2 linked regions of the Ovis aries genome follow. The protein of the gene in region 1 interacts with the protein of each later gene in a biochemical or structural test. Links are inferred from orthologs where the notes say so. Each region holds a gene or a part of one and is shown on either strand. Other genes may lie near its edges.

Region 1 (3,810 bases):
TAAATTTGTACTGTTTGAGCTGAAAAAACATACAAAACAAACAACAAAAAAAGTGTTCTCCTACACAAAAGTAATGGTATTTTTAGTAGCAATTTATTGAGAAAATTATTTTCTAAGCATCCTATGAAATTAACAACCCCTTTAAGGAAATGAACTATTTTATAAGTCACAACAATATCTGCATATGTGAGAGGCTTATAGCTTATCTAGTCCCCTGCCAACGTTGCCTGCAGGGAGGTCCATGGATTGGCAGCCTTCATCTGAAACCAGCAGACCTTAGTGGCTCTTCCTCTGGTACTGCAAACAGGGTGATGGTTGCTATTTGCTAGAAATGACGGAGAGGAGAAATGCCATAAGGTTAACCTCAAATCTCTTAACGTTATCCTTTTAACGTAAATCACTTACAAGCCTTGCTACTTTATTTAATCATTATTTTCGCACACTCTTTGGGTGGATCAGAACACCTGTGTGTCATGACTCCACAGTTGAAGACCAGAGTCTGGCTGAGCATTCACAGCCAATTATAGTCATAGGCAGTGCGGAGTAGTGGTTAGGACACTGGCCTCTAGAACCAGACTGCTCAGACCCGACTCCAGCTCTGCCTTGTCTGTTTGCTCTGTGACTTTGAGCAAGCTTGATAGCCTCTCTGGCTCTCAGGTTCCCTCACCTGTAAAATGAGGATAACAGCATCTGCCTTAAGGGTTATTATAAGGACCAAATAATGTGAGTTAATATGTAAGAAGTACTTGGAATAGTGCTTGGTACATTAAAAAAAAAAAACTTTATTTTTATTAACAATGTATTTATTAATGGCATTTTTAATGACATACCGCTTGATCACCAGAGTTTCTGGCTCCCAGAAGATTAGAAGTAACTGTTAAGGAGGATAAAAGTACACTCCAGTAAGAAGAGACATCACATAGCCTAAGACAGCAGGATAGACTGGTTGGAAGAGTAAGACAGGAACTCAAAATCATGGCAGACTGAGTCACACAGTGCAGAAAAACAGACCCCTATGGCTCTGAGGTCATAGCCTTATTCCCGCAAAGTCCAGTAATTATTCAGAACGATGCCTCTGAACCATCAAGCAAAGGTCACCTGATGTTGCAGGTGCTCCGTTACAAGGGGTTCTGTCTTGAAAATACTTGTCACAAGTATTTGAAAATGTAAACTTTGCTCAGCGATCTGGTGGACTGGTAGGTGGAGCGTGCCATCCTGAAATTGTAGGGGATGGGCATCATTGGTGCACGTCCAGAGGATGACCAGCACACAGTAGGTACAGTCAATGCTGATATGTTGGGTTTCCAGTGCATCAGACCACTGAGGATGCCCCACTGGGCTAGCCTTGGCATGGGAGATATAGGCATTGTAAGATGCAGCCCCCATCCTTAGATGCCCTGCAGTTCTAGTGAAGAAGACCTTGAACTTAGGCTCTCTCTATTGCAAGTATTTATTGGAACCTATAACCATAGATGGGACAGAGTGAAAAAAGATCGGGTGCTGATGTGTGTGGGAAAAACTGCTCCTTGCCGATCAGGGCAATACAGAAGCCTTTGTGGTACAAGAGGGTGTGAGCTGGGTGCTGGGGAACTGGTAAATCTGCATGGCTACTGGGGAGAGAAGGCCCAGCTGGACAGGCAGATGGCGCACGGGGAACGTGCAGATGGCAGTGGCAGTAGAAGCGGGTCCTGTTCACAGGCCAGCAACCCCAGTGCAGCCAGACCAGCTGCTGCGTCAAGACCCCGGCAGTGAGGTTGGAAAGTTAGGAAGAAGGGAAATCACCAAGAATCTTGGCTTCACGTGGGGCATGGTAAGCAGGAAGGATTCAGAAGTTTCTGAGCAGGACAGTGACGTCATAGGATCACAGGGGATTATGAGAGCCCCGTGGGGCTGAAAAGCACCCCTGTGGGCAGCCAGAGCCGTCCCCCCAAGCCCAGCCTCATCGCGTCCTGCGCCTGCCCCTCAGGTGAACAGGAAGGACTCTGTCCCTAATCTTGGGCTCCCCAGGCTAGCGTCTCACACCCTGCCTTGAATGGGGTGCTCCCTGCTCCTTCCCGCTCCCGTCTGCTGTATCTCTTGGGGTCTGAACTGACACCCTCTGTGGGAGGAGGGCGGGCAGCTCTTTGGGCAGGTGAGTCAGTAACCTGGGCGTGGCCTCCGCCCAGTCTTCCTCTAGGTACGGTTTACCTCAGCTCTGGAGGGAACGCGCCATCTTCCGCCACCGGCTTCCCTTTCCTGCGCTGCCCACTCACACCCACCACAGGCTCTCCTTCCCTCACCCCCACTTCTCTCGTCCTACCCCCACCCGAGAGGCCAAGGCCCATGGGCCTTTCCTGAAGCCCAGAAGCCACCCACTCTGGCATTCTGGTTCTTTTTCTTGCTCTTGTGAAACGCTCGGTTCTGTGGGCAGATGCCCTGGCAAGACTAGCACAGAGCAAGCAGCTACACGCCGAGGGCCCCAGTGCCCACTCCTGCCGTCAGCGCTCTGCAAGCCCCGGCCGGGAGGTCTGTGTGCCAGGTCTGCTCCCGGCCCCACCCTCCCGGCAGTCACCCAGCACAGGGAGGCTTGGAGCCCCTGCAGTCAGACACCCTGGTTAGCCACTGGAGAGAGCTTCCCAGATAGAGCTGTGAGCTGCTATCTATCCTCAGGGACTTCTGAAGGACTGGAAAACTTCCTTGGGCAGAAATTTCAAGACTGGAAGGACTGAAGGAGGGCTTGTTCCTCCTCTTAGGAGGAACCTAAGAGGCAAAGTCTGTCTACATTGGTCAGAGTAGATCACATGCCTGGAAAGTTACATGGGGATGACCACGTAGAGGGGTCTTCTCAGCATCTCCTAGCTTCTGACACTGGGACCCTGCACCCTCCCTCCCCCTGAGTGAGCATCTGCTCTGTGCTGGGCTGCATTCAGGTCTCAAAGCAGTTGGTCCTTTGAGGTAGGATCCCCACACCACATGCTTCCTGGAAGAAGGGACAAAAAGGGATCTTAGGAGAGATCCTATGGTCCAAACTCCTCATTTTAGAAATGAGCAACCAGAAGCCTGGAGAGTTCATTCTGTTCAGAGTCAGACATCTTGTTCTTGGGATCCCAGTCTCCTTAATGATGCCCAAGCATCCTGCCTCCCAAATCCTCTGTTTCCTCCTCTCTCATGCTCCTGCCTTTTCAACATACAGCACCCACTCTTCCATCCATATCATGGGCTTTGGGTCCCCGTGGCAGGATGGCCTGGTGAGCTCCAAGTGCCAGGGCCCAGCCCCTCCCATCTGGGGCCTCTACACCTGGAGGAACTTTCCTTGGAGGCACTGCAGGCCCCGTCCTCCTGACACCCCCCTCCGGCACCCCCACAGTCATCCTGACTGATGAAGAGGTGCAGCGGAAACGGGAGATGATCCTCAAGCGGAAGGAGGAGGAGGCCTTGAAGGACAGCCTGCGGCCGAAGCTGTCGGAGGAGCAGCAGCGCATCATCACCACCCTGCTGGACGCCCACCACAAGACCTACGATGACACCTACTCCGACTTCAGCCAGTTCCGGGTATGTGAGCTGGAGGGCGAGGGGATCTGGGCACAGCACCTGGGGAGGGCTGGAAGCTGCTCTGCCCTCTGACCCTGGGGAGGACTGCCCCTCCTATAAACAAAAGACCAGGGCTGGGGGAAGAAGATGACCTCTAATGTGGGCTTCTGACACTCCTCCTTTCCCTTCCAGCCTCCAGTTCGCAAGGATGAGGACGAGGGGAACCATGCTTCGAGGTCGATACTCACTCCCAGCTTCTCTGGAAACTCGTCCTCCTCCTGTTCGGATCACTATACCTCC
Region 2 (3,792 bases), on another chromosome or scaffold:
CTGCTCAGGCACATGCGCACACACAGACATGCAAGTGTCAGCGCGGCTGTCCATCACCACCCCCCTACCCACACGCGCGGAAAGATGGGTGGACTCACATGGGCTGGAACACACAGAGCGGAGCAGACCACAGTATGCCTTCACACACACATGGCCTTGTCTGGGCTGGGTGTGGCCGGATGTGGGCAGTCCTGAATGGCCAAGCCGATGATTCATGGGGAGGGTCGGAGGGGCATAGCCTCACTGAGAGGCCTGGGAAACACTGCTCAGATTCCAGGTCGGACTTCTTGGCACCTGCCTGGGATTACCCTACAGTCCAGCCTATGGTCCAGCCTGACTCATCAGCCGGGTCTTGGATGTCTGAACCCTGAGCCCAGGGATAATGGCTGAGGTCCTAACTGAAGGGCTTGGAAGGAGCTGGTGGGCACCTGGAGCACAAGGCTGGGTTCCCCTGGCCCCTGGCCTCCATGAGCCCCCGTCTGCACAAGAGGTCCCCACTCTGGTTGGAGAGGGGCGGGGTGGTAAAGGCCCCCCAAAGCTTTGCCTACTTCAAAGGCCTCAGCCTAGACAGTCTAGGTTCATCCACTGAGAGTCAGAACTTCTGAGTCTGGATCTGGGATCTTAGGAGAATCTGATGAAAGCTTCAAATTGTCTTCCTAGGGACATATGGCTACCTACTCACCCACTTTAGCATGCAGTTCAGGATGTCCCAGGATTCCACCAAGTTAAGAGCTCCACCAAGTTAAGAGCTCCTGGCATAGACGGTTTATGAGTTGCGATTCTCCAGGATGTCTTCCTGGGTTTTGGAGAACGGAGTACCTTTGGAGGAGGGAGCAGAGAGCCCAGGGCCAGAGACACAGAGGCTATTCAAGCCATCTATCCCCAGGAAAAGCAGAGATTTGGACCCTCTGCCTCAGACTCTTAATCCTTCCTTCTGATCTTCCAGATCTCTGCTTTGCTGGCCTAAGCGGCCCCAGGCCCCAGTACCCGGGTCCTGTCCCCGTCACCTCTACATCCTCCCCGACCTGCCCTTCAAGACTCTACAGCTCCTACCTGTGTCTCTGGCCTTTGGGAAGCCCACGCCCCATCTTCCTGCAGCCCTACCCTAGCCTCTCCCCCACTCCACTTGCTCATCCCTCCTTCTCTTCTTTGAGGTGTGCCCCACTGGGGCAGGAAACCTGGAGCCTGGTACCCCTGGCAGGTGCTACCTGGACGCAGGGCTGCGGCGGCGCCTGCGGGAGGAGTGGGGTGTGAGCTGCTGGACCCTGCTGCAGGCCCCCGGAGAAGCTGTGCTGGTGCCCGCGGGGGCTCCCCACCAGGTGCTTCCCCAGCGCGTGCCAGTGGGGGCTCTCTGCAGAGAGCTCAGAGTATCAGAAGCAGTCCCCAGGCTGTTACACCCTCTGTTTTTCCTGCGGAGCTAGGCAGAACAGGAAGTCATGCCTCCATTGGAGGGAAGAGGAGAATCCTGTGGTCTTGAAGTCATCAAGCTTACTGGGCATCAAGCTTATCCCTTGATGTCTGCTCTGCCTGCACCATCTCTGGCATCCCTTTGGCCTACTTTTGGCCACACCCTTTGTGGTGCCCCTTGCTGGATCCAGGACATCCGCTCTCTGAGAGCTGGTTGGGTGGGGCTCATTAACCAGAAGTAGAGCTCAGGGATCAGAGGGGCAGGATGCGTCACCCTGAGTCTCCATTGACCGCCCCCCCGACCTGTCTCCTCCCTGGCACAGGTGCAGGGCCTGGTAAGCACAGTGAGCGTCACTCAGCACTTCATGTCCCCTGAGACCTCTGCCCTCTCTGCTCAGCTCTGCCACCAGGGGCCCAGCCTGCCCACTGACCACCGCTTGCTTTATGCCCAGGTGAGTGGAACACTGGCCAGGAGCCTGGTTGTGCTGCCCAATTTCGCCATCAAACAGAGCTGGGTCCAGGGAGGGCCTTCTTGGCAGGGTGAGCCCAGGGGCATGACTGTAAACTCCTTGTCCTCTCTCTTTCTCCTAGATGGACTGGGCTGTGTTCCAAGCAGTGAAGGTGGCTGTGGGAACATTGCAAGAGGCTAAATAGGGGTGGGAGGTCCCAGGTGTCTGGGGTGGAGGTCAGGGGCAGGCATGGCTTCAGCAGAGAATGGCACTGGGGAACTTGGGGACTTTGGATCAATTCCGCACTCTGGACACAAGCAGGCACCACGTTCCCTGCCCTTGACCTGAGCCCTGATGCCAACAACCACAGTGCCACTGAAGCTTACACCTGCCCTTTGCATACTGGCACTTGCTCTGCCCCTAAGCCCTTCTCCAAGTATCAGACCCAGACTGGGGGGTGATTGTCTCCTAACCCCTGCCCCCAACCCAGCAGACAAACAGCCCTTCCCTGGGGGACCTCAGACATCATTCTGGCTTAAGCGACACCTTCTGTTGCTGCTTCACCTCCTGCTGTCTCCTGTGTCTGAGCTCTGCTCATACCACCCACAGCCTCCTGGGCTCCCAGAGGCCCTTCTCCCTGCAGGTGTGCTAGACAAGGGGTCACTGACATCCCGCCTTCCTGCCACAGAGCTGTGAAGTGTGGGGAGGGGACGGCCTCAGGTCACCATCTAGGCTTGGCCGGAGGGTGCGACAGATATGGGTGAGGCCCCATCCCTGCTCCCTCCTCTGCCTCCTTCCTTCTGGATTTCCATTAAAGGCTGTTGTTTTGTGAATGCTGCCTTGTGGTTGGCCCTGCTCCTGCAGGCCACGTGGACAGGGAGGGAGGGGGACACCTGGAACTGGAGCAGGGTGGGAGGGGGCTGAAGCAGTGGTGACAGGGACCTCAGACACCCCTGCCTGCTCTTCTTAGGGTGGGGGAGGGCGCTGTGTCCCTCCCTCCCACAGAGGAGCAAAGAGGGGCTGACCTTGAGGATGCTCCTGACAGCAGGCAAGGCGGAGGTCTCCGTCACAGCAGCATGGCATCTCCCTGTGTGACACTAGAGCCCCAGAAGCCCTAACTCACCTTGCAAACTTCAGGCCAAACATCTTTCCTGTCTGAACTGGAGCTCTGGGAGTCTGGCCCCAGAAAGCCCCTGACCAGCCTTTTGCCGTCGGTGCCCATGGCCAGCCCCATGCCCACTGGCTGGTGCTGGAGACAGCTGACAGTCCCTCCCCACCCCTAGGGCCCTCTGGTGTGGCTCCATCCCTCCCCTCTTCCTTGTATTTCTCACCCTCAACACGCTCTGACTCTTGTTACAATTGTTCCTGCGGTGGTTCTGGGAATGTTATTTTTTTTATGAAATAAAATTTTTTATTATAAATTTAATATACTTTCAGAACTTTTAGAAAATAAGAAAAAGAAACCTGTATACTATTTATCTCTACTCACCTTCAATCCAACCACTCTTATGTTGGTGTATTTCCTTTAGTTTTTTTTTTCTCCAGGGATCTGTTTTACACATGGTTGAATTGGGGGTGTTTTGCATTAAGTTTCTTTCTTTAACACTGATCATCATCATTTTCTGGGTTGCTCTCTAACCTTTGTTTTAAGAAAGTGTTAGTTGCCCAGTTGTGTCCGACTCTTTGCCATCCTATGGACTGTAGTCCACAGGCTCCTCTGTCCATAGGATTCTCCAAGCAAGAATACTGGAGTGAGTTGCCATTCCCTTCTCCAGCAGATCTTTCTGACCCAGGGATCGAACCCCAGTCTCCTGCATTGCTTCCAGATTCTTTACCACTGAGCCACCAGGGAAGCCAGTTTATTTTAAATGGTCACTTGTATTATTTTAGGCTTGGCAGTGATTTACATAAACATTGCCCATTTTTCCAAATAATT

What was found.
Region 2: the proteins of VDR (region 1) and HR form a complex in vitro, tested with the Homo sapiens proteins (2 studies listed by BioGRID and IntAct). The link is inferred for Ovis aries from reciprocal best matches to the Homo sapiens genes VDR and HR.

The regions. Positions count from the first base shown.
Region 1 is NC_056056.1:138,722,876-138,726,685, forward strand, and holds part of VDR (vitamin D3 receptor), read left to right. Parts: intron 1-3,346; coding exon 3,347-3,531; intron 3,532-3,702; coding exon 3,703-3,810.
Region 2 is NC_056055.1:43,491,424-43,495,215, forward strand, and holds the end of HR (lysine-specific demethylase hairless), read left to right. Parts: intron 1-1,154; coding exon 1,155-1,319; intron 1,320-1,730; coding exon 1,731-1,859; intron 1,860-1,998; coding exon 1,999-2,061; 3' UTR 2,062-3,282; downstream 3,283-3,792. UniProt on the Homo sapiens protein: Histone demethylase that specifically demethylates both mono- and dimethylated 'Lys-9' of histone H3. May act as a transcription regulator controlling hair biology (via targeting of collagens), neural activity, and cell cycle.